Linked DNA regions of Oryzias latipes. The protein of the gene in region 1 interacts with the protein of each later gene in a biochemical or structural test. Links are inferred from orthologs where the notes say so. Each region holds a gene or a part of one and is shown on either strand. Other genes may lie near its edges.

Region 1 (8,323 bases):
AACAATGTCACACCTGGAGTTTCCTTCCACCGGTTCCAGTGAGTTCTTTGTTGGTTCCACCTGACTCCTGCGCTTTACATCAAGATTCCATGTCTTCCCTAGACCCCATGCAGCTGGGATTCATTTAAATTCAATTCAGTTTTATTTGTATAGCCCAATATTTACAACAATAGTCATCTCAGTGGGCTTCATACTGGTAACTGTGTAATAAACAAGAATCATAGCGAACATAAAGTCACAGATCAAGATATCTCTCCCCTGCAGAGTGAAGGGGGCTGAGGAAAATCTGGGCATCCATCCATCCATCCATCCATCCATCCATCCATCCATCCATCCATCCATCCATCCATCCATCCATCCATCCATCCATCCATCCATCCATCCATCCATCCACCATCCATCTATCCATCCATCCATCCATCCATCCATCCATCCATCCATCCATCCATCTTCTTACGCTCATCCATGATCCAGTTGCGGGGGCAACAGTCTGTCAAGTTGCCCAGACTCTCTCCGGCCACCTTTTCCAGCTTCTCTGGGGGGATCTTGAGGCGTTCCCAGGCCAGCTGAGAGATGTAGTCTCTCCAGTGTTCTGGGTCCTTCCTGGGACCCTCACCTAGAAGGACATGCCTGGAACACTTCCCCAGGCAGGGGTCCAGGAATCATCCACATTCTCACCTAATCTCCAATAGAACTTGTATTCAGGACCTCGTTCTTTAAGTCATGATTCACAAATCATGACCAGAGGTGATTATTGGAACGAAGATTGACCGGTAAATTGAGAGAGAGAGAGAGGGTGGGGGGGTGCTCAAGCACCTGCCCTTTTTGCCCAGATGCCCAAAGTGCCCTTTTTGTCAAAGGTGTTTTGGTCCAGTTTTCATGTGTTAATGCTTGTCTGAACAATGAATTTACCAATAGCATGTATCAAGTCTTAATTATTTAGAAAAAATAACATTTAAGAAAAGATCAACTCAGAAAATATGATGAACATGCCCCTCCCTGACACACACCTGGCAGCCCCTCCTCACATGCCCCGCCCACCCGTTCACTCACTGAAGCAGAGCCGGAACGCAGCGCATATGTCTACATGTAGGCAGTAATGTGATATGGCCCTCCAGATCTTTCACCTGTGTTTCAGGTGAGCAGATGGAGGGTGTTTTGCAGGTGTCTGCTCCTGCAGAGTTTTATGTGGATTGGATTTTAATTTGATTGATCTGACTTGACATTAATGTGCTGACAGGCCTCCTGAGGAGAACAGGTTGATGGAGGAAAAAGGAGCTGAATGAAGCTAAAGGCAGAGGATCCACAACCAGCTGCAAAAAGACCAGCATGAGCCAATTATTTATGTTGTTTCTGGTCTATAAAATTATTTGGAAAATATCATTTAATTGTAAGTAGTGTTGGAAGAGTTAATATAGTTTTTTATTTTTCTATTAGTTTTATTAACTCAATTTTTGTTTTTAATTCAGTTTAATTTCTGGATTTTCCAGTGTGGATTTACTTGTTTTAATTTTAATTTTTATTGTTTAAATATTTTTTTATTTTCCCAACTTACGTTACTATTTCTTTTTTTTTATTATTCAAACAAAATGTTTGATCAGACCTGTTTTTTCTTTTTAGTTTAGATTAGTTTATTATACCAACCTTGATTCCGACACTTTAGAGCAATAACCTCCTGATAGGGGGGCAGTCCTGTCAGGATTGGATGGACATCACCCAGGAGACGCCGCTCAGGCTAGAGGATGAAACTCAGACAGCTGTCAATCAACCTCCTTCACTGAGTGAACGCGGATTTTCTTCTTGAAGACGTTTCTGTCAGACTTTCAGGAGGACAAACTGCTAAAGGCAATAATTCGATCCACCATTTACTCATTTGTTCAATTATGTGATGTTAATTTTATAATAGAGAGATTATGTTTGGATTCATAAGCTGATAAAAACTCTCATTTACAACAAATATTGAGGTCATTTGTAACTAATGAGGAGCACTGCTGCCATCTTCTGGTCAAATTGAAACATGTTTGGACTGGACTGACTGGACGGATTGGACCCTGACCTGCATTCTTTCTGTGTGGTTTGATTCAAGTCTAAAGCAGATGACCTAAGAAAATTGTAACAGCTGTCACACACATACATGAGAGTATTCAATGCTGAGGCTTCAGTACTCAAGGTTTACATCCATTTTACCCTGAAATTATTTCTTCTTTTTTTTCCCTTTTATAAAGTAATTTAGATTTAAACTTTACTCTTTTTTATGTTGGTTTTTTTTCTCTATATTCCTGCTTTTTTAAACGTTTTCTTCAGGAATTTAATCATTGCTTTCAGAGCTCATGTGGTACTCAAAGGATTCTCTATTTTTAATCCGTTTTAATGGTTATTGTGGCATTTGGAGCTCTAAAAAGCATTAATATGTTTGTGTTTTTTCATCCATCCATTCATCCATCCTGCTTGATCCTAAACGGGATCATGGGGTTGCTGGAGCCAATCCCAGCTGCTGTAAGCCAAAGGCAGAGAACATGGTTCTCCTGCAGGAGAACTATCTTCTCTGCCATGTCAGAGTTGTTTTATGTGGCCTCTTTCAGCTTTAATGGCTTTATTCAAATGCTGTGGATGTGGGTTTTTAAAAATATGAGAATTTCTAGTATTACAAAATGTTTGATCATTGTTTATTTTTCCTGAAGCAAACAAAAAGAACAAATATTTTCTTGTTTTACCTAAAGAAATCTCAAATGGTTAAATGTACACTAAGGTGGATTTACATCAACTTTATAGAGTACAAAATTGTGTTATTTTTTTATTGCTGTGTTTTTTGCACCAGGGGAAATCTGTCTAGATCACAGTTGGAGCCATTAGCTCCGGTTTTCAAGAATAACGGGATCAAATAACTGCACAGATCGTCTATAGAAACAGGACGCAGCCTTCAGGAAGATCTCACCAAAGGTCGTAATTTACAGGCTATATCGTTAATCTGTTGATCACTTCCTGAGAGCCTAGATTAATGTATCTGCAGCCCACTTGAAACACTTTCGACTCTGAATGAGTAAAGACAAACTAAAAAAGAGGTCTGACTGAGTTCCGCATAGCACTCTTTCTCAATTAACATAAAACGTTCTTTATTTTTGCTCAAACAAAAAAAAAAATCAAACAAGAAATACAGCACCTATAAACAACGTTGCTTTAGTATCACGTATATTTTTCCTATTTTATAAAACTTAATTTGGAAAAATCATCGTTTTCCTCTTGGGGTATGTTTCTCAGAAATCCACGCAGAGTGATACCTCTTCTACTCATCCTCTCGGAGGCTGTGACATCACGCTCTTTGTGAGTCTTTGTGAGAAAAACAGCTGGATCAGCTCTGCAAGCCGCTCCGGCCCTCGAACCTCAACAAGGTACTGTTCTGTTTAAAGAACCGGGAATGTCTGCCTCCCGGTTCCGACCCAAATTGTTTGTTTCTTTCACCAGAATGCCACGTGTAACCTAGTTTTTCCGCTACCTGGCAGGCTAACCTGCTAACACACTGATTAGCCAGCTCAGCTAACGAGCCTCGCGCCGCTGCACGCGCCGCCTCATCAGAGGATTAAAGCAGCTGAGCGGGGCGCGCGGCCCCCCTCTGAGTTCACACGTGTAATAACAGAAAAGCTCTATCTCCAGGTGAGAAGCTGGTATACAGGGAGCCGGACCAAGAGGGCGGACCAGACCGGACCGTTTAGGTCTAGAATTCTGCTGAAACCAAACAGTCCGGAGTTTAATTACATATTTGTTCATGCTTTATTATTTAATTAATAACATAATTAACGTGTTTTTAACTGAAGCAGTTTCCATTCTGTGTTTGTTTGCTCCAATTAAATGTGTTTGTACAGTAAATTTAAATTAATAAGCTATAATGAAAACCCCTCAATGTATTTCATGTTAATCTAATAATATCTAACAAGCGCACAATTATTAACTGTGGGAGGCTAGAAGAAGCATCCACCTCCTCCTAGTTTAATCCAATATTCAAGTCATCCTAAAACAGTGTGAGCGCACATTTCATCCATCCTAATCCAATGTAATCCTCCATACATGTTAATCTAATGTAATACTTGGAAGTATGTGGTGGATCCTCGCTAAGCAGCAGAGCTTTTCCTCTTTCCTCTGTGTCTTTGGTAGTTCTGGAGGAGCTCTGGTCGTCATGAAACTTTGTGCTCTAAGGTCTGTCAAAACTCTGCAGCGGTCTTTTACTCATGTTGGTGTGCTGGAGCAGCGTTGCGGTGTTTTGCATGACAGAATCTTAAGCTGCTGGGAGTTGGAGTTCATTTTTGGCTCTGGGAGGGGTTTGGCCCCATCTCAGCAGAGAAGCGTGCAGCCTCACTTTTGACGTTTCTTTGTCCCCCCCCCCCCTTGTTTCTTTTCTTATTGTTTCTGCCTTAAAGGATCAGGTGTTGACATAAACAGCAGACGAGCGCTCGCCCCATACGTGCACACTAACGCCGTCACCCCCGACTTAGAGCTCAGAGGGTTCGCAGAGCTGCAATCTGGGGTTTTTATTTAGCCCGGCTGAGTTGGGTGCTCACTCCCACGCAGTCCAAAAACAGCTCCACACAAGGAGGCATGAAGCATTCTCCAGGGAGGGGGGTTGTGGATCTTAGTTTGACAAAAAACAAACTTCACGATTCGTTTTTTCAGGCTGACTCTCGTCTGTAGACGATTCCAGCTGTCAGGGAGCCGTGGATCGGTTCAATGAAGACCTGTGCGTTTAAAGCAGACTGTTTTATTTGGGATGAGGCTTCCAGAGGGCGGATCTGTTTGACAGATCTGTTCCAGAGAGAGATGAAAGCAGCTGTAGGCTCCTCTGCACATCTGGACCTCGTTCAGGAGCAGAACTCTGCCCCATCAGCCATCAGGTTCCTCTCATCTGGATCTGTTCTTCATGGCTGTCCAGAGGAACACTGGTTCCTCCTGCTTAGACCTGGGTTTGGATGTCGTGTGAGGAACACATCAGCCTGCATTCATGTAACATGATGGAACGGGAGATTCAACATCTCATTACTACATGGACATAGTGCCCCCGCCCCCGCATTCCAAACAGGAAGGACCTGCTAAAATCCCATAGACCTCAATAGAGAAATAATCAGCTGTTGCTCAGTCACTCTATTGTTCTGGATTAGGGCTGCACGATCTGAGGAAAACTCGCGATTTTCGATATTACTGATCAACATTGCGATGATGATATAACTTGCGATACATGAACAAATGGCAGGGCAACCAAAAACATCGTTTCCAATTCACTGCTACAGTTTTAATTTAAAAAGTCAAAATAACTTAAATTATACAGCAAATGACCCAAGGCCACACAGGAGGGGAACATCTAACATCAAAGGGTTTCGTGCGATTGGTCAACGTCGTGAAGAGGGTTCATCCGTCCATCCATTGGTCAAATGCATAAATGGATTTTTTTTGATTCATTAAATACTTCAAGCTTACTTCATAAGATTGTTTTAGCACATTTAATGTAACCATTTAGTGCAATTTTTACCGTCTTTTGCGATATTTGATTGCACTACTTGATATCGCCATAACAATAAATTTGCGATTTATGTGCAGATCTATTCATGATTCTTTATCGCATGTTGTTTAAGTTATAACCTAACCAATCAGATGCCTCAGTAAAGGCTTGTGGTGCCCGCTGGCCCCCTCCTGGAATGTTTGATTGACAGACAGACCACTCACTGTCCTTTGGCTCCAACATGGCGGTGTCCGTATCGCAGAAAAATGGCGACAGAATTGGGTTCATTTGGGCTGGAGCCGGAGGTGAGGCATTTTCTATGGGTGACGTCTCACTCGCTCTGTCCAGTTCTCTATATGCTACAGTTCAGTGGCTCATTGCAGCCCAGCGGCAACCGTTTCCTTTTTTGTTGAGGATGATTTAAAAGAAAAAGTAACTGTAGTCAGATTAGTTCACTGAGTTACTTCTAGGGGGCTTGTGGCTCTCCGTTCCCAACAGTCTGGCTCAGAATGTGATTAGACTTATAAAACCGCTGCACTGGGGGGGAATTTCTATGTTCTACCAACTCTGTTTTATTTATTTTTTTATTGATGCTGCTCTCAAATGTGTGTGGCTACTTGATTGATCGGAAACTTTCAAATTCTCTGGGCGTGTTCCAACCGCTGACTGTATGAGAACTGGACTGAGTGTGACGACGCCCACTAAAAATGCTTTACTCCCGTCACCAACCAAAGGAATTCAATTAAGTCCCAATTTTTCCATGTTACGGACGCCGCCACGTTGGAGCCAGCCGACGACAGTGAGCGGCGATTGGTCCGGTCTGAGTCAAGGTTTTTATGGCCACCACTCTTGCGAATCAGGAGTGAGCTTCTTGTAAAGCCACACCCCTTCTACTTGAAAGTGGGCTAAGGAGAATCTGTCAGTCTAACGGTACTATTATTGAGGCATCTGATTGGTCAGTTTATGACTCGAATAACTTGCTCTACAGAAAAAAGAGGATTATCCAGAACAGGTATCAGAGCAAGAATGGGTGTTCTGACCAATAAAATGACTGAGTAACAGCTGTTTACTTCTAGAAGTCTACAGGATTTTAGCTTCTTGGAGCCAGCAGGTACTTCCTGTTTGGAAAGCGAGGTGGGAGGGGTCACACAGTCCAGTTCTCAAATGTATAGTCAATGGTTCTGGCAACTGACAGGTGTGGTTGTCCCGCCCATTTTGCTGTTTCTTTTGGAACAGTTGGGGCTTGATGATGTCAACAAGATGGCGTCAGAAGTGAACAATGGCTTCAGATCAGTTTATTTGCCCAACATGACTTCAGGGTTTTGGGTCACATCTGAGCCGGACCCAAAAGGGGTTTTGATGTGTTTAGGAGACAAAAAAAAGGTTTAAGTTTTCTGAACTTTAAATGAAAACGAACAAAAAAACATTTGAACCCAAAAAGATAAGATTTTTGGTAGTTTATCAGTGAGCAACAACTTTCCTCTGTCCTATCAGCACCATAGTCAGAGGCTAGAAATTCCTAAAGCTGGTGGATTTTAATACATGAGAAGTCGAGATAAAAAATAAGAGCTGGGAAACCTGAGCTGTGTGTCAGCAGGGGTCTGACCTGAGCTTTTTGACTCTAGAAAAGATGGGAACTCTGTTCTTTTGTAACCATGCATGCTCTGAAGTCGGGTCAGTGAAGCATGCTGGGAAGCGTGCAGGTCCATGGCTGCTGCTTGGTTCAAGTCAGTTCTGGCTCTGACAGGGAGTCACGCTGACTAATCCTGATTATCCTGTCAGCTGCCTTTGATCAGCACAGCTCAGGTTTAGCTCCAGGACAAAGGCGCCGTTTTCCCCTTTTCCCAAAAACACAAGTGACTCACTTCCTCATGTTCTGCTGGTTTTCTGTGCAGAAGCTTGCTTCAGCCCAAACATTGAATCCTGCTTTTTCCTGCGCCCACTTCCTGTCTTGCTGTTTCTGCAGATTGGATCGCAGCTGAGTGGGTGTGTTTTTCAGAGGTGACTGACTGAAAGTTGTGTGTGTGTGTGTGTGTGTGTGTGCAGGTTGGCTGTGAGGCTGACGATGTGGTGGGAACATGGAGCCTCCTGAGTACCTGGACCTGGATGAGATCGACTTCTCTGATGATTCAGTGGTCAGTATCTCGAGCAGAAACGACACAAACTCAACCGGCGTCTTCCCCACACCTTTCTACCTCAATGGGCTTTTCTTAAACCTTAGTCCCAGCTGCTCTTATGGGTGGATACATGCTGTCAAACCCGTGGGGGGGGGCACACAGGGGGCTCGCACAAAACTTCAGTCGTAGACAACTCGGTGAGCCCGTAGAGAGAAAATGTTCATGCACATTTTTTCTACGGGCGTGCAGCAGGTGGTCGTAGTTAAGAGATTTTTGTAGTTATACTTTTCTATATACTTTTAAAAGCAATTCAGTCACTACTTTTTTGTTTTTTTAACAGTGATGATGATGTCATCAATTTCACGAAGTTGAAATTGTTTGTTAAAGAGGTTTTGCGATGACCATTTATGAATCCACTATCTTCTGAAGGTTAAATGGTTGGTTTATTAAAAAAAAACATTTAAATACATTCTTTTGGCCAAAACGCAATGCATTGTGGTCTATATTCGCTAATCCAGTGAGCATCGATGCACACTAGTTTTTTCGCAGAGACACTCGATTTTCGAATTGTAGATCCAAACAAGCACTACAAAAAGTCAAACGCACTATGTAGTGCGATATGTTGTGAGTCGTGAAGGGATTTGCACACAACACTTGTGTTCTTATGACCGTGCAGACAGGAAATGACATCATAGCGGGGTCACAGGAAGGGTCACTAGGG
Region 2 (8,361 bases), on another chromosome or scaffold:
CATGTGGTGATCTGCAAAACCATCTTGCCAGGCTCCACAATATGGACATCCATCTTTGCAAAAGTTCGGATGTTGTTTGTTTTCATGGGCGACTCTAGGTTGACGTCATGAAATGAGCGGCACCCGCACGGAGTGAAAGCCGGTGCCTCAGAGATGGAGTCGTCCTACTTCCTGGTAGGAAAATCAACTGAAAATAACTCAAAATAACTCGTAGTTCATATAAAAATGTTATTTGTCTAAGGTAATATATTATCAAATATGGACATACTTTACTCTGAAAGGCTTAACAACAGCATGATATAGGCCCTTTAAATGTTTTTAAATCTATATGGAATTTCCCACACCTGTTTGGTACCTGAATGCAGCACAATGCAGCACTGACTAAAAGTGAGCGGTTAATTGAGAACCCACCAAGAAGAGAGAAAAAGCTTCCTTTTTTATCCCCCAAAATAAAAGTGTACCACCAGCATTCTTTTCAACTTAAAAGCACAGCATGTACTGCTCCATTAGACCAACACACTGATCAGAATCCACTGCAGTGATGTTCTTTTTTTCTTCTCTGACAAATACTAATGTGATGCAGAGGTGTGCTGCCAACACTTTCATCCCTTCAGCAGGAGTGCATACATCTGAGCAAAACCTTAAAACTATTTGCACAAAAACAACACATAAAATACTACTATATGTCTGTGGGTTATAAATCTTTTTTTTTTTTTTTTTGCCATACCAATTTCTGAACATTTACAGGCGTCCATGCTTTGTGTTTAAGCTGTTTGTATTGTTAGTCATTACAAAAGATAACCCTTTTTTTTATATATAATCCAAAATCTGAGTATCAATGGCTTGCTGTGGGCTTAAGAAGTCTTGAGTGCTGCAGGTGTAATCTGTGTTTGTTTTCCTGCAGGATGCTGGGGAGTCACTTGCGGCTACACGGGAAGCGGCGCATCCACCCCTGCAACATCTGCGGCAAGGAGTTCAACCACAGCTCCAGCTTGTCCCGCCACCGCCTCATCCACAAGAAGGGGAAAGGCATACCCAAGGACGCCCCCTTCAGCACTGGTGTGGCCACCCTGCGCCTCTGCGGCAAGAACAAGAAGGCCAAGAAGCAGCACGTCGCGACCGCCATCATCCAAAGCCATGGCACAGACAAGTTCTACGCCTGTCCACAGTGCGACATGACCTTCAGGACGTCCACACAGCTGTCCAAGCACCAGGTGACCCACGTGAAAGAGCTGCTGGACAGTTACACGCCCGGCAAGGAGAACCTGGGTGAGAGCTCATCTGACCTCAAGATCCGCCTAAAGCTCTGCTCACGGGATAAGCCCAACTTTTACACCCTCTGCAAGAAGAACCGACGTCGCCGGGGGGGCCGGGCTGGCAGGCGGGGCCAGTCCTCTGAAGACGACGAGATGTGCGGCGTAGAAGGAATGGGCCACCATGTCTGCACCCAATGCGGGAAGCAGTTTAGCCACGCTTCCAGTCTGGCACGACACCAGCAGACCCACAGGACGAGCGCTGGCGCCCGAGGGAAGCAGCTTCACCCCACGCCTGGACTCCCCCCCTCAAAGACCAAGACCTACACTTGCTCAGCCTGCAACAAGACCTTCATGCACTCGTCCAGTTTCTCACGTCACAAGAAAGCCCACCTCGAGGACGGCCAGGTCACCGCAAAGCGTCAGAAGAGACCTATCCTGGACGAAACCGCGCCCCTCGAGTCGGACTCAGAGTGACTCCCCCACCCCCCCTGCTCTGAACTGGATTGGACCGGTTTGAGGATAAGGCATAAGTATTGACTGGTTCCGGGGTGTTGTGGAACCAATTCTCGAAAAAAGTTGAAACTCAGAAATGTTCTGGACCCGTTCTGGTTGTCCAGGTCTCAGGAACTGAAAATGGTTTCTTCCTCTTTGGTGTAAATAGCAGCAGGATATCCTAAAATGGTCATCAGGTGGGGATGCCGCATACGGTCACACCTGTATGGTCAGAACTGACACTTAGCTTTGCGTATGGAGTAATGTAATTAGATTCAAACATACACAATTGCCCTCCCCTTTTACCTCCCTTTCACCTGTATGGCGGCACCTGCCGTTTCCCAAAGGCATCATGGGAAATGAAGCTGGATCATCAAACCAGTTTGCCGCTGTGAAACACGATTGGATCGATCATCTGTGGTTTTCATCCACAAAACTGGTCCTTTAAACGACGAGCAGGTCCAAAACTGCATCGACACCGGACCCGTGAGCAGTTATCCAACTTTTGATCCATTTAGTTGATTGATGGTCAGAAGAACTTTCTGTCCCTGTTGGCAGTTTTCCCTACCTCGCTCCAGTGGATTGGGCTGATTAGGCCAGCCAGGCTGCTGATGCTGTGTTTTGATTGGCTGACGGTGTTCTTTGTTATCTGGCTGGCCAGTCAATCTTGGTTACTATAACAACAGTTTAATCATCAGCAGGCAGAAATGGGTGTTCTATTCTTCAAAATAAAAGCTTCTAGCAGAAATCCACGCTGGAGTCCGAGGGATGTGTCCCGGCGCTCCTCAGAGAAAACTATCTTGTCGGGTCCTAAGACGTCTGTTGGTAAGGTGGAATGTTCTGATGTTCCAGAAACAAAGTTGTCATGACAGCATTGGCTCCTCCTCACATATAAAGGTGTTCTTCGTGTTCTCCAGCTCCCGCCACGGTGTATGGAGCATGCTGATGAACTGGGACAGATGTTTGGTCAGTTCAAGCCTCTGGACTCCACGTTCATTTGGAGCAGCTCTCACCAAAATAAAAGCTTTTCCTGTGCCCGCCCAGGAACAGTTATTGAAAAAGAGTTGGCTTGGAGTTAATTTAATGGTGACATATTTATTTTGGTCTCAATGCCTATGACCCCCCCCTTTCACCAAGAGACAAAAACACTCAGTCCCTCCCACCATGTTCCAGTTTTGTTTCTGACACCTCTCCTGTCTACAGTTTAGACCAGTGTTGTGTTGGTTTGTTGCAGTGGGGGGGTGATGGTGGTTTTCATTGTATCGTGTTTGCCAATAGAATAAAGCTGTTGACATGTTTGTCTCGTCTTTGGAATAAACTTCTATCCAGGCTGTTTTTACTTCCTGCCTCCAGCAGGAGGAGCACACATGGAAGCACGGAGCCACAGGGAATTTTTGGGGATACCATCAATTGTAGATCCAGTCAGCTTTAAATTTAGGCAGAACATAAAGGTTAATCCAAAGTCAAACCACAGCTATAGAGCACATGGGAGACAATCTGCATACATACACCCTTTAAATAAGCCAATATTTCAAAATAATCGAGTGCAAGCTGACTTTATCTGTATCCTGTAGAAGGTTCCGGCTGAGGAGCGCGCGCCAGGATCTGCTGTCACTGAGGACACATGGATAAGTCATCCAACCTTTCCGATCAAAGATCGACTGTAGTGGATATTTAGTACCAGCTGCTATTTTCTAGATGTTTCAAAAACAACCACTGAATGGCTGTTGAGTTTATTCATCGTCAGAGTTTGAATTTTAATCGTGTTTTTTGTTAAGTACATACACTTCCGGTGTTGTTTACGTCACACTGTACAGCGGACCGACGCCGGAAACATAGGAGAAAATGTACTACAGCTCCCAGAATGCTTAGCGAATGAGAAGGCTGATGATCGGTGAGTTCCGAACCGGGTCCCCAGTTCCAAACCGGGATATCTTCGACTGACCAATCGCGCTGATCTTATCTGGTCTGTCCGCGTTCCCGTCAGTTAGATCGGTCCCGGGCCAACATTAAGCGCGGGTTTAAGATGGGGTCGGTTGGGTTGACGCCGGGACCTTGCACCGGCGTTAAACTGTAAACATACAGATACACAACATGAATGTGTTGAAGCTGCTTAGTTATTTATCATGGTTGATTTCCCAGAATTTTGTTAACAAAACAAGCGGACATGTTTTGTTTGTTGGCTTAACCTTATGTGACCGTCTACTTCTTCCCAAATAAATCCGCTTCAGCGTGACACTTCTGTAATTTATGTACATTTCCAAGTTGGCACAATACCACAAACACCACAAGTAATGCACAAAAATAGCAGTAAAAATAATAAAGGAATACAGTTTGTTTACAGACTTTTACAAATTCGTGTTGTCTTATAATACTGCTCTGACTGTCTCATTAAAATAACATGATCCTGACAGTAAAAACACAGCTCTGGATTTCCATTTTGCCATTAAACCTTTATTTAAGCCGTCTTTCTTAATCCACAAGTTTTTGTTTAACAAGTCTGTCTCTAATCTAATATTCATTTCTAAACTCCCAGAGAAAACTGCTGCAGATCAACTCTGTGAGCGTTTGAACAGAATAATTTGTGATGAGTTTTAGTCAGAATTTCCCATATCATAGCTCTGCTGAAGGTAACCATGACCTCATGGCTGCCTGTACTTGTGTCTGTGCATGTTCTTTTAGGCCTCAGTGCTGTTTGTTTGACATACTTGATTAGAACGTTTTGTTGCAGCTAATAGAATATGGCATTGTCAAAATGCTTCCAACACTAGTATGAAGCACAGAAAACATTTCCATTGGTCATTTTTGTCATGAGATGAACTTGAATTTCTGAAACATTTTCTACATACACAATATAACAATTTCTTTCAATTATTGCTGACAAAACTGCCTACATTTGTGATATTTAGCACTTCTGCTTTGCTGAGATGATCCATCTCACCTCACTGGTGTGCCATATCAAGATGCTGTTTAGACAGCATGATTATTGCACAAAAGACTGGCCTCAAAAAGAGGCCAGTCTGAAATGTGCCGTTTTGCTTTGTTGGGGGTCTGGGGACTCAGAAAGCCGGTCAGTATCTGGTTTGACCAACATTTGCGGCATGCAGTGCAACCCATCTTCTCTGCACAGAGTTCATCAGATTGTCAGGTGGCATGTATACTTTCAAGAGAATCTGAGACCAGCCACTCAGACAGCTGCTGAAACAATTGGTTCGCAAAACCCCAAAAAATCTCCACAGAAACCATCTCAGGTAAGCTCATCTGCATGCTTGTTGTCCTCATCGATGCTAAAGCCCGACTCCAGTTTGTTGTCATAACCGACTTGAGAGGGCAAATGCTCACATGACACATGGAGAAGTGCTCTCTTCACGAATAAATCCTGACTCATTCTCTTTACTGGACATGTCAGACAGAACAGAGGTGCATTTGATTGACAGCATTTTGAATGCACAGAGACCCGGTGGGCCGTTGTATCCCATACATCCAACAACATCACCCCATGTTGCAGCATGATATTGCACGGCCCTGTGTTGCAAGGATCTGAACACAATTCTTGGAAGCTGGAAAAACATCCCAGTTCTTGCGTGGCCAGCATCGTCACCGGACATGTCACACATTGAGTATGTTTGGGATGCTCTGGATCAGCGGATACGACCGCGTGTTCCAGTTCCTGCAAACATCCAGCAACTTTACACAGCCATTGAAGAGGAGTGGGCCAACATTCCCTTAATCGCAAACCTTATCAGCTCTGTGTGAAGGAGATGCACTGCATGAGGTAAATGTTGGTCACACCAGATACTGACCGGCTTTCTGAGTCCCCAGACCCCCAATAAAGCAAAACGGCACATTTCAGACTGGCCTTTTATTGAGGCCAGTCTAAGGCACACTTGTGCAAAGATCATGCTGAGGAAAAAGCATCTTGATATGGCACACCTATGAGGTGGGAGGGATTATCTCAGGAGAAGTGCTCACTATCACAGATTTAGACGGATTTTATGGACAATATTTGAAAGAAATTGTTATTTTTGTGTTTGTAGGAAATGTTCAGATCTTTGAAATCAGCTTAAGACAAACGGGAGCAAAAACAAAACTGTTGCGTTTATATTTTTGTTCAGTGTAGTTTCAAAGATTTCAAGTCTTGGATGACTTCCAATTTTCTTTCACTAACTCAGAAAACAGAAGTTGTTGTTCTTTGACCCAAACAGTTTAGGGAATCCCAGTTTTATGACAGTAGATGACATTATTTTATATTGATCAGACTCCTGTTTTGTGAAATCAACTTCCCGTTTCTCCTCAGGAGGTAGAACCATCTCAGTCTTTGAGGAATTTTATTCTTCAACGCTGTGAGGAGGTTTGACTCAGCCACATGGCAGTTAGATGTCTCACTCACATTATAATTGGCCCTGGCACTACAAACTCCAGATCTGATTGGCTGTTGCACTTGAGCGTGCTCAGTTGGTTCTTAAAGCCTCAGGGAAATTTAGTAGAAGGTGGCTGCACCAACTAGGTGCAATGTGATTGGATAAAATTCACTGATTTATTGATTGGTTGTTTTATACAGTGCCGTTTTGTTCAAGTTTTTGGTTCCCCTGACGTTTTGTCGTCTTTCAAACGGAATGAACTCAGAGGTGGGCAGAAATTCCTACACTTCCATAACTTTTTTTTTTTTGGGGAAACTACGACCAATATCCATAACAAACAACTTCGTCATTCACAGGAATGTGGAACAACTGTTTTTTAAATTCTTTTGCTCAAACAGGTTTGTTTGATGGTTTGAAATTTTCCCTTGTGTTTATAAATCTAAACCCTCCGCTTTGTGTTTCTGTTTGCAGAGGTGACACAGGTCATGCCCTCAAACAGAAAACCAATTTACAATACAACTTCTGTGTGATACGCTGAAAAATGAATCAATAAGTAAGATCTGTGATCTCCATGAATGGTGTCTGCATGAGATTTCATAGCAGTCTTCCATGCTGTGTCCGCAGTGTTCGTGCGCTACAACCTTGGCCCCGGTGTGGCCGTGGAGCTCCAGGAGGGGGCGAGTGTTGCCGAGCTGAAGAAGGTGGTGGGGAGTCAGCAGGGCGTCCCCCCGGAGCAGCTCAGGGTGCTTTTTGCTGGGAGGGAGCTGCAGAGCACCTCCTCCCTGCAGGTGAGGCTGCTGCCTGCTGGGAAAATGAAGGACGCAGGAACTTCTTGTGTCCAAGCAGGAAACCTGCGACTCAGCTCAGTTTGGCCCCACAGGTCAGGACATCTCAACGTTAGGAGGCAGGTTCACCGATAGACACCATCTGAATGAATCAAAAAATGATAAAGTCTTGACGCCACATTTGAAGAAATCTTCTGAAAAGTCTTCGTGTGGATCCTTTTGAAAACAGGGAGATATCCTCAAAAACCAGAGGCTGTCATGAAATCTGAGGCTACTCTCATGGTTGTAGCTCCTTCAAAATAAAAGCCTGTGGAGATTCAGATTGAGCTGAAGCTTTGTTAGGTTGTACTTTGAAGACTTTTTGAGGTGATATTGAGAACTAAACACCATATTCTCCTCTCTCTCCTCCTAGAGCTGTGACCTCCCAGAGCAGAGCACCGTTCACGTGGTCCCTCCCCCTTCAAGATCGTCCTCCTCTCAACTGCTGCTCTTTCAGGAACCTCAAGGCAGCGAGGAGGAGCAAGAGAGCCTTACAAGGCTGGACCTGAGCTCCTCACGCCTCCCCGCCACCCCCGCAGACCTCACAGGTACCCTAAAGGATGGAGAGATGGGGGATGGAGGACAAAGGTTACAGGAGGAAGGTGAACTTATACCTGGGACAAGTAAGTACATGTACTTGTATGTCTGGGTGTGTATAGGTATGTTTGTGGGTGTACAGATGTGCATGCAGGTGTGTTTGCGGAGTTTGTGCAGGTGAGACATGAGAGCCGTATTACAGTCACCTGACAGAGAGGGCGCTCTTGAGTCAGCATTTCAAGTTGTGAAAAGTAGTACAGGTCTTATACCGTTGTGCACCGGTGAGTCTTTGCAGTAATCCAGCTCTCTGTGTGTGTACAGGTGTGCGTAGCCGCAGTTCTTTCTTTGTCTATTGTAAGACCTGCAGGTCCATTCAGCCTGGAAAACTCCGGGTTCGATGCCGGACCTGCAAACAGACAGCGCTCACACTGAGCAGGGTAAGAGCAGCACATCCTGTGTTACTGTTCAGAAAAACCCAGGTTTTGTGTTGTAGTTTGAAATTCTCTTTTCTCAGGCCACCTTGGTAACGTTTACTAAACTGTATGTGGAGTTTAATAGTGTTTAGATTTTTTTTATGTCCCCACTGACTTCCTTTTTTGGTATTTCTAAATTCAACAAGTTTTTGTTCAGAAAAGGAGCATGAGACCATCAAAATGGCGGGATTAACACAACTCTCAATTGTGGAAATTTGCCCATCATAGAAGAAGATTCATTGGTCATCTTCCAGTCAGACGACCACACTGGATTTGTGTTCAGAGTTAATGTTTGTGTTACCCAGTGGTTTCCTAGTGAACTAACCTGGCTCAGTTACTTAACTCTGAACTGCGGGAGCTGATGTCTCACTGAGGATCTCTGTCTTTGTCAGGGGCCATCTTGCTGGGATGATGTTCT
Region 3 (8,115 bases), on another chromosome or scaffold:
CAATCCCGCCCGCTCCCGCAACGTATGCGTTACACTCCCGCCCGCACCCGCAATATGTATGTCCACTCCCGCCCGCACCCGCAAAACTCATAGAATTTAGTCCCGCACAGTAATAGATGCATTGATTTTGTATCATCTCCCGTCCCGCAGAAAAAAACACGTATTTTTATTGATATTATTAAAGAGATTCATGTCCCTCCTCCAGTCTCATCTTTTCATGCATTCCTCTTTAGTGTAATGTGAAACATAATCATTAAATATATTTTCACAAATCCTGTTCGGTAAAAAAAAGTGTGCGTGTGTCCACGCGCAGACAGACGGCCTGAAGCGCGCTGAACCAGCTGGGATAGATGCAGGTCAAAGTCATTTGCAGGAAGAAAAACATTGTAATGGTTCAACAGAGCTGAAAATCTATGAATTAATTTTTTCCTGACGGAAAAATACTTTTTTTTTTTTTTAGCTTCAGCCTTTTCCCGTTTTTGCTGTTTTGCGCCACACTGGGAGCGCGGGGAAAATAACTCTAAGCTGCAGAGGATGTGAACAGGTGAACAGGTAGAGAGGAAAAGCAGGTAAAGAGGCGGGGGAGGGGCTTTGGCTTCAAACTCTGTCAGAGAGATGGAAACACGGCGTCAGATTCAGACGCAGCGTTCCCTGCAGGAGTTGAAGCAGAGACTTTCTCTGGGATGATTCTATGAACTCAAACATGGAAACATGATTATCAAGCAGAACTCTTTAAAATAATAAACCTGATCTCTCCACATTCTTCGTGTCTACCATCATTGATGCACACATCGCTCCATGCAGCGATCAGACCAGAACTTTAGCTGTTAGCTCCGCCCATACGCGACCGCGGTATCAGGCTTTAAAGAACACAATTTCTAAGAGGCGGGGCGGGGCGCTGCACACCCCCAACAACAGGTTAGATGAAAGTGGCCATTGGGCGTCTCTACCTGGTGCCTTCACGGAGCTTCAGTACATAAGACTCCAACAGCCGCACAGCCTAACGTAGTCCACTATTATATATTCATGAGATATTCATGGCAAAACTGATCCCGCAGAGTTGTTTTTTTCGCCGCCCGCTCCCGCCCGCAGTACAATTCAAACCGCCCAATCCCGCGAGATTTGCATTGGGTCCCGCGGGACCCGGCGGGACCCAATCCCAATGCAGCCCTCTACCATGTAAGACATTTTCTAGATTTATTGAGAGGCCCACTTCTTCAGTTTTTTGCTACTCCTTACACGGTGCTTATGTAATTCACATTCATACTTTAGTTTACCCTCATATGAGCAGAGACCAGGGTTCACTTCCTACATCTGCAGCAGAGTTCAGGCGAGCTTTGACACATGGGAAACGAAGCAAAGCATCAGCAAATGAATGTGCCTAACAATGACACATCTCTCCTGAAAGTTAGAAAAGTCTGTGATTTTTCCATCTTTTTTTGTTTGTTTGTGTTTTCATTGCCTCCTTTTGATAGACTTTATTTAAACAGTTTACAAATACAAACATTTAAGGGGTTTAAACATGCACAAACCCTGGAGAAAAGTTGTTTGTTTTTTTCAGATTTTGAATTTATAAGAATCCAAACGCAGACTATTAGAAATCAGCAGGTAGATGACAGCGTTTGACTGGTTTTGACTAAAGTCTGCTGGACTAAGGAATAGAATCAGTGACATTTACAAACAAAAAGCATCTTTTTTTGAAAAAAATATTAGCTGCTACTGAAATGACAGGTTTCTGGAGCAACTTTAAACACTATTTTTAATCAAAAGGTCACACATGAATGAGTCAGGACATTTTCACTCTTATAAACAGCTGGTTGATTATTTGTCTTCAGCAGATCACGGATGAATGAACGCCACTGGCACGCGCTTTTTTTTCCCTTCACTCATGCCGTAGTGTGCATATTAAAAACTTTTGACACCTCCAGTGAAGCATCACATCTTTCAACGCATTGTTGGGTCATCTACGTTGAGACGTTGAGATACTTTTTAGGAACCATCAAGTATCAAAAGATTCAGTTTAATACCTCCATGCAGCGCTCCCTGATCAGTTTTACACCACAGACCGGACTTGAAGGTGAGATGAATAAATAAACGTTGCATATGACCACCACCATAACAAATATTTTCTAAATATAATAATAAACGGGAATCTGCTGTGTCCAATTTTATCAGCAGTGTCTTTGTAACATAAGACAGGGCTCACTGCGTGAGAGCAACCTGTCCCAATAAATCCATATTTTAATTAAGACTCCTGATATTATCTGTTAAATGCAGCTTTCTTGTTGATTTTTGAAGTCATCTCTCTGATTCTTATACTGTGCAGAAATTGTCCAAATAATTCGGTTTGAGTTTCTTTTGTCATCTTGGGGTTATTTTGGTTTTACCGCCTGAGTGGCTTCTTTAGGAAGGTCACACATGTAGGAAGACATGTGACCGAGCGACTTTACATGCATAAAGTGTCACGGAGAGAATCTGGTAGTTTTTCCCAAATGAAATGGCTTTCAAAATCACTAATGACTAAAATGGAAATTTGTTTTTTCTTTCTGTGTCTGGGTACCAAGTGACCCTTTGCCCAGAAGAGACCCCCAACCTAAGGAGTCAGGTTGTTCCTATGAGTGGTCTGGTCGAGGGAACAGCTGATGTTCTACAGAGTTCTCCGGTCCTGCTGGAACTTTATGAAAACTTGCTGTGTCGATGACATTTAGTCCCTTTTGTGCTTCTTTTTTTTTGTATATTAGCTTAAGAGCTGAATTTGTAAAAAGAGTTGGCACGTTCAAAAAGCTTTTTTAGATTAAGCTAATGCAGTCTTGTTAAAAGTATTACTTAAAATCAGAATTCAGGGTTTCTGCGTTGGCATAAAGGAAACTTTAATGTGCACTGAAGCCAAGATGTTAAGATGTAGCAGGAGAATTGTTTTCTCACAACACTGTCTGCTAGCCACTGGCAGGTTTGACTGCAGACCTCCCAAAAACTGCTGCCTGAACATCCAGACAGAGATTTTGAAAGCAGACACGCTCCGTCTTTGATGCAGCTGCAGACGTGTTTGATCTCTTATCAGATTTGTGAAAATAACTGAGTCTGAGGGGGCGAAAAAATCCTTCCGGCTTAGCATACGGTGGGCAAGGAATTCCACAGATTTGGTCCATGTGGAAATGAAGCACAAAGAAAAGCTTCTCCTCTTTGTCCTCTCGTGAGCAGATGTTGACTCTGGGATGTGCTGCATCTTCAGCATCGATGCTCCGAACGGTAAACGCTGAGCGAGCTTTTCACATACCTAGAGTGCTTCTCAAAAACAGGAAGAGCACTTTGAGAAGGTGAGACGCTGCTGTAGAGTGTGTAAGTAAGTTATGCTGAAGAGCAAATGTGAGCCAGAGAACGCAGCCCTGTGTTCTCTGGCTCACATTTAAAACGTGGACAGAGGAGAAACGGGCTGCACTAAAGGAGAAAGGAGGTATGAAGTCAGAGGGGTCAGCTGGTGCTGCAGCTTACAGCTATACCAGCTGAAATCTGAGACTTGCACAACCACAGTGAGGCGGAGGGAGGGGGCAGAGGGAGGAAGAATGTCCAGCCTGGAGAAAGAAGGCAAACTGCAGGCTTTCAGAGGACACGAGGCTGCAGGAGCAGCAGGGAGATGCAGCTGGAGCTGAGCTGAGACATGTGAGGGCTGAGCCTGCAGAGACAAAGATAAAGACTCGCGCTGGATGCGGACTTTAGCTCTGTGTTTCAGACAAACACAGCCAGTGGCGCTGACACCGACCACGCTCCCCAGGACAAAGAACATCACTGAAATCCAAACCGAGAAGAAAGTGAAGGGGGAGACTTCACACTGGATTTTTTTCTTCTTCTTTCATTTCCTCTCGGGGAGCCAAGGTTAGGTTTCTGAGCTGGGGCTCTCTTGTTTTGAGGATTTTTCTTTTGCAAACTTGCACTTTTTTTTGACTCCTCTTTCTATACCTGCTAACCAACCGCCCCGTGGAATGTCAAATAGTTCCTGAGTGGAGAAACTGGATAATTACCCAGTGTTGGTGAAGCTCTAATGACTCTCCTAAACTGCCTCCCGTTTCCTGTGCAGACTGGCGAGTTGATTAACCCTTTAGCCTGCCTGGCTGCTGTCCGGGCTCCTTCTGTTGCTTCTGCAGTGGAGTCGCTCAAACACCCTGGACTCTGACGTTTTCCCGCTGTTAAGGATCTGCTGGTGTTTGTTTGGACACAACCCTCGTTCTGGATCTGCTGCAGAACTCCAGCCGCTCAGAAGCTTGTACTTTCCAAGGGGAGAGGGGTGGGGGCGGGGGCGGGGGTGGCAGGAGGGGAAATATGATCCAGTATTTGGAGGAATGCGTAGAGCTCCAGCAGCAGTGTGTGGTTTCCATGGAAAAGGCCTGAGCAGCGTGGCACAGAGGGGCTGCATACATGCTTTACCTCTATGTCTGTGGTCCAAGTGAAATCCAAGCAGACAAGTGTAGCTCCACAAGCTCCACCCTGGAACTCCCTGTTCAGGCTGCTCTCATGCGTAGCAACCAGGAATGTGCACAACACTAAAGGTGAAGCGCGTCGATCCTCACCAGCTCCATGTTTCTGCCCAAGGTGGCTTGAATTGGCACTTTGTGTGCAGGGGGCCGTGTTGGCACACCGATGCTGTGCGTGACGTGGGCGAGCACAGAAGATGCTTTTAACCGTTTCCCTGCGTACATTATGTTGCACTGTTTTAACGTGGATTAACGTTTGTGTTGAATCCCCCTTCACCTGTCCTGATGTTCCTCTGTTTAGTTTTGTCATTCAGGATATTTAATTTCTTATCATAGAAGAGAAAAGGGAACGACGGGAATGTTTTCTTCACAAATAGCACTTTTGAACATTTATTAAAACTAATTTGCTTTTTAAATATTCATTTTGTGTGTTTATGTTTTGGTCCTTTAAGGGCCTATACCAGGCTCTTCTTAAGCCTTTTATAGTAAAAAATATATATATCCATGTATATGATGATATATTTTGGGACACAAAAGAACATTTCTTTTAAAATTAAATATTAGTTATTTTCCTGAGTTCTTTTCCAATCAGGAAGTAGGACGACTCCATCTCTGAGGCTCCGCCTCTCGCTCTGTGATGCACAAAAGATGTTCTTGTTTTCTGTCAAAAGATTCATCACATAGTTGAAGGATTCAATATATACAAAAAAATGTACAATTTGTATTTACTCAACATTGTATTTAGGTTTCTGCTTGGTTTCTTAAATAACATCAATTAAAAATAATAATAATTTCCAATCTTTTGAGAAAAATATCCAATCTCTTAATTAATGAAACTATTTCTAGATTATATTTCTTCAGCTTCTAAAAGGGAAATGGTTTTCTTTTGCGATGCGTTTAAAGATTGTTGAGCCTCCATGAGGTTCATGGAGGCAGAAGCTGTTGGTGAAACAGACTTTTTGGTCTGTTTGCAACCAAACCATTGGCAGAACAAAGACAGGAAGATGTTTATGGTTTATGGTTTCCTTCATCGTTGGTGTTCACCTTCACGCCCCGAACCATCGATGGTCTTATCCGTCTACCTGTTCCCACACCGTAGCCCTGTTTTCTGCCTATGTTTGTAGACGAGACGGTTTATGTGGAGATGAATTTTTAGTTTCAAAAAGCAGCTTCCTGTGTTTGCGAGTTCTGTTTCCACACAGAAGGAGACATTGTACGTCGTTTTAACAGAAACCTCAAATCAAATGTGATGCAATCGTGTCCAGGAATAATTTGCTTTGTGTAGATTTTGTTCAGCTGAAGACAAACGGGTTTCACTCGTCAACCTTTAGTCCAGAAATGGACCAGACTTACTGAAATATGAATGAGTGGCTCTGCAGCAAAGCGTCCACACAGCAGAAATCTAAAGTGAGCACGCTCTGTGTCCTGCCCATCAAACACCGCCTCGGCGCCATCCGGCCCTCACGTCTGCCGGAACATCACAACAATCCGAGCCCACTTCTGTGTCTGACTGGAGAACAAAGCAGAACGTTCAGAACCAGCCTGTCGGGTTCTCATGTGCACTTCCTTTGTTTTCTCTTTCAGAGGTCCAAACATTTCAGGAGCAGACAGAAGCCTTATTTGGAAATCTTATGGACGAAGGTCAGTCTGTCTTGTCTGTCAATCTGTCTGTCTGTCTGTGTCTGAGTGGATCTGTTGGGGATTTGCTTTACATTTACAGGATCGATGGCAGCTTTGTTGGTTTTCCCATGTCTGCTGTAGTTTTGTGTGTGTGGGCTCAGACCTTTCTGTCGGGCTGATCAGCCGTCCCGCTGCAGGGCCCGGCCCACGCCGTCTTTATCTGGCAGCTCCTCGTCAGCTGGCACCGGGCGTGCCAACTGAACAAGTGATGCTATGTTTATCCAACACTGTTCAGCTCCTCGCTGCCAAAACGCCCCGACAGCAGGACCCACGACCGAGGTCCTTCCAGAAACGGGGCCCTGCGTCAACCCACCTAAGCCGAACCACTGAGTGCCTCCCAGAAATCTGATGTTTGATAACTGAAACCTCTCCCTCCAACGTCTTTTCACTCTTCTCTGCTGTCAAGCAGAAGAGAGTTTCAGCGTGTGACCTCATCGCTGCACTGGAACGTTCTCCTCACACAAACGCTTTCTGTCCGGCTAAAATAAGAACTTCTGTTTGGAGTAAACTTCTGCAGAGTGTTTGTCACTCACATGTTGGAGGCACCGTCTCAGGTTTCCCTTCTGTGTGCCGTCTGTAAACACCCCCCCCCCCCCCCCCCCCAACACGCACGTCAGAGATTTGCATCCTAAGCCAAATCAGTCCCACTGCTCCTGCTAGCATGCTAATAATAACTGATTAGCTAACTTCATGTTCAAGGATTTTTCATCCCTATAAACCATGATGACATCAGAAAACATCAGACATGTGTTCTGTGGTCTGAGTTCTTCTGGGTAAATAAATGTCTTTCTCCTTTTCAACACAGATCTTGAGTGTTTAAAGAGCCTCGAACTTTATTAACAAATACAGAGCTGGAATTTATGTTCAGTGTAGAAAAAGAAAAAGAAACATTCCTACGGTTGACGAGAATGTTGAAACAAAAAAAACAAGCATTTGTGGTACATAAATCTAATCAAGTGATCAACAAATCTGATTGAGATTTTTATTGATGGACGTCGGCGAGCATCCCTTCATCATTCTGTCTGCATCTTTTTTTCCCTAACAGTAGCATCCTCATCTCTGCTTTCTGTTCTTTCATCTGAGGGAACATCTGCACAGAACTGTGCTGTTCCCAAGGCAACAGACACAACATCACTGCTAAACTTTGAACACAACATTTTTTGTCAAATAGTGAAAACATTTGACTGAAACACTGACGTAAACGGCGGTAACATGTTTCTGAAATCTCTCCTCTTATACTCGAGGATTCAATTAATTCCAGACTTAAAAAAAACGGGAATTTCTGCTGTAGCTTTTGATTTTTATGCCTTAACAAAATGTTTAAGCTTAGAACCATTTTAAAGCTGGAATGAATGGAGTTCTTCCGTTTTATTATCTCTCCTTCACTGTTTTTCATTTTAGTCATCTGTCTCTAAAATAAATCATTTGTTAACCCTGGAACACTTTTGCTACAACAAGTCCCACCGTCCTTGTTGCCGGGTCATTTTTTCCCCAATATAATCATCCCAGCAAAAAGTACCAATCATAAAAAATAGATCAAAACATGACAACATGTGTTAAATTCAAGTGGTTTTCCTTTATTTTTATCTGTGGAATGTGTAACAAAATGAAAAAAAACAAACAAACATAGGATTTTTCCTAAAAATATGCTCAAAAATGACAGAAAAAATTGGGAATTTGAGAACAAAAAATGTCTAAACAATGATCCTAAAAACTTGGTCTTATGGGACATGTGAGCCTTCCCTGGTGAGGCGCAGACTGCTTGACACGTGACTTATTGAAGTTCATGGAAATAGTTTTGCACGGGTGAAAATCACCCTGCAATAGTGCTCTAGGGTGGAACTAGCATTTTGAACTTTTAATTCTTCATTTTGATGAATAAGCATCTAATTGTTTCCTTCTTTTTTTAGCATTCCTATAAAAAAAGTTTCACTTTTTCACAACAATTTGAATAAATACTCAAAAA

What was found.
Region 2: of the proteins of sncaip (region 1) and prkn, one has a biochemical effect on the other in vitro, tested with the Homo sapiens proteins (3 studies listed by BioGRID). The link is inferred for Oryzias latipes from reciprocal best matches to the Homo sapiens genes SNCAIP and PRKN.
Region 3: the proteins of sncaip (region 1) and siah1 form a complex in vitro, tested with the Homo sapiens proteins (2 studies listed by BioGRID, with this or other methods). The link is inferred for Oryzias latipes from reciprocal best matches to the Homo sapiens genes SNCAIP and SIAH1.

The regions. Positions count from the first base shown.
Region 1 is NC_019867.2:29,622,300-29,630,622, reverse strand, and holds the start of sncaip (synphilin-1), read left to right. Parts: upstream 1-3,293; 5' UTR 3,294-3,389; intron 3,390-7,043; exon of another isoform or gene 7,044-7,531; 5' UTR 7,532-7,563; coding exon 7,564-7,620; intron 7,621-8,323. UniProt on the Homo sapiens protein: Isoform 2 inhibits the ubiquitin ligase activity of SIAH1 and inhibits proteasomal degradation of target proteins. Isoform 2 inhibits autoubiquitination and proteasomal degradation of SIAH1, and thereby increases cellular levels of SIAH.
Region 2 is NC_019873.2:12,958,691-12,967,051, forward strand, and holds the start of prkn (E3 ubiquitin-protein ligase parkin), read left to right. Parts: upstream 1-3,127; 5' UTR 3,128-3,623; coding exon 3,624-3,642; intron 3,643-6,733; coding exon 6,734-6,897; intron 6,898-7,306; coding exon 7,307-7,556; intron 7,557-7,791; coding exon 7,792-7,907; intron 7,908-8,335; coding exon 8,336-8,361. Other genes in the region: zinc finger protein 135-like, read left to right, coding at 905-1,730. UniProt on the Homo sapiens protein: Functions within a multiprotein E3 ubiquitin ligase complex, catalyzing the covalent attachment of ubiquitin moieties onto substrate proteins. Substrates include SYT11 and VDAC1.
Region 3 is NC_019864.2:25,284,644-25,292,758, reverse strand, and holds the start of siah1 (E3 ubiquitin-protein ligase SIAH1), read left to right. Parts: upstream 1-3,503; 5' UTR 3,504-4,426; coding exon 4,427-4,544; intron 4,545-6,053; coding exon 6,054-6,110; intron 6,111-8,115. UniProt on the Homo sapiens protein: E3 ubiquitin-protein ligase that mediates ubiquitination and subsequent proteasomal degradation of target proteins.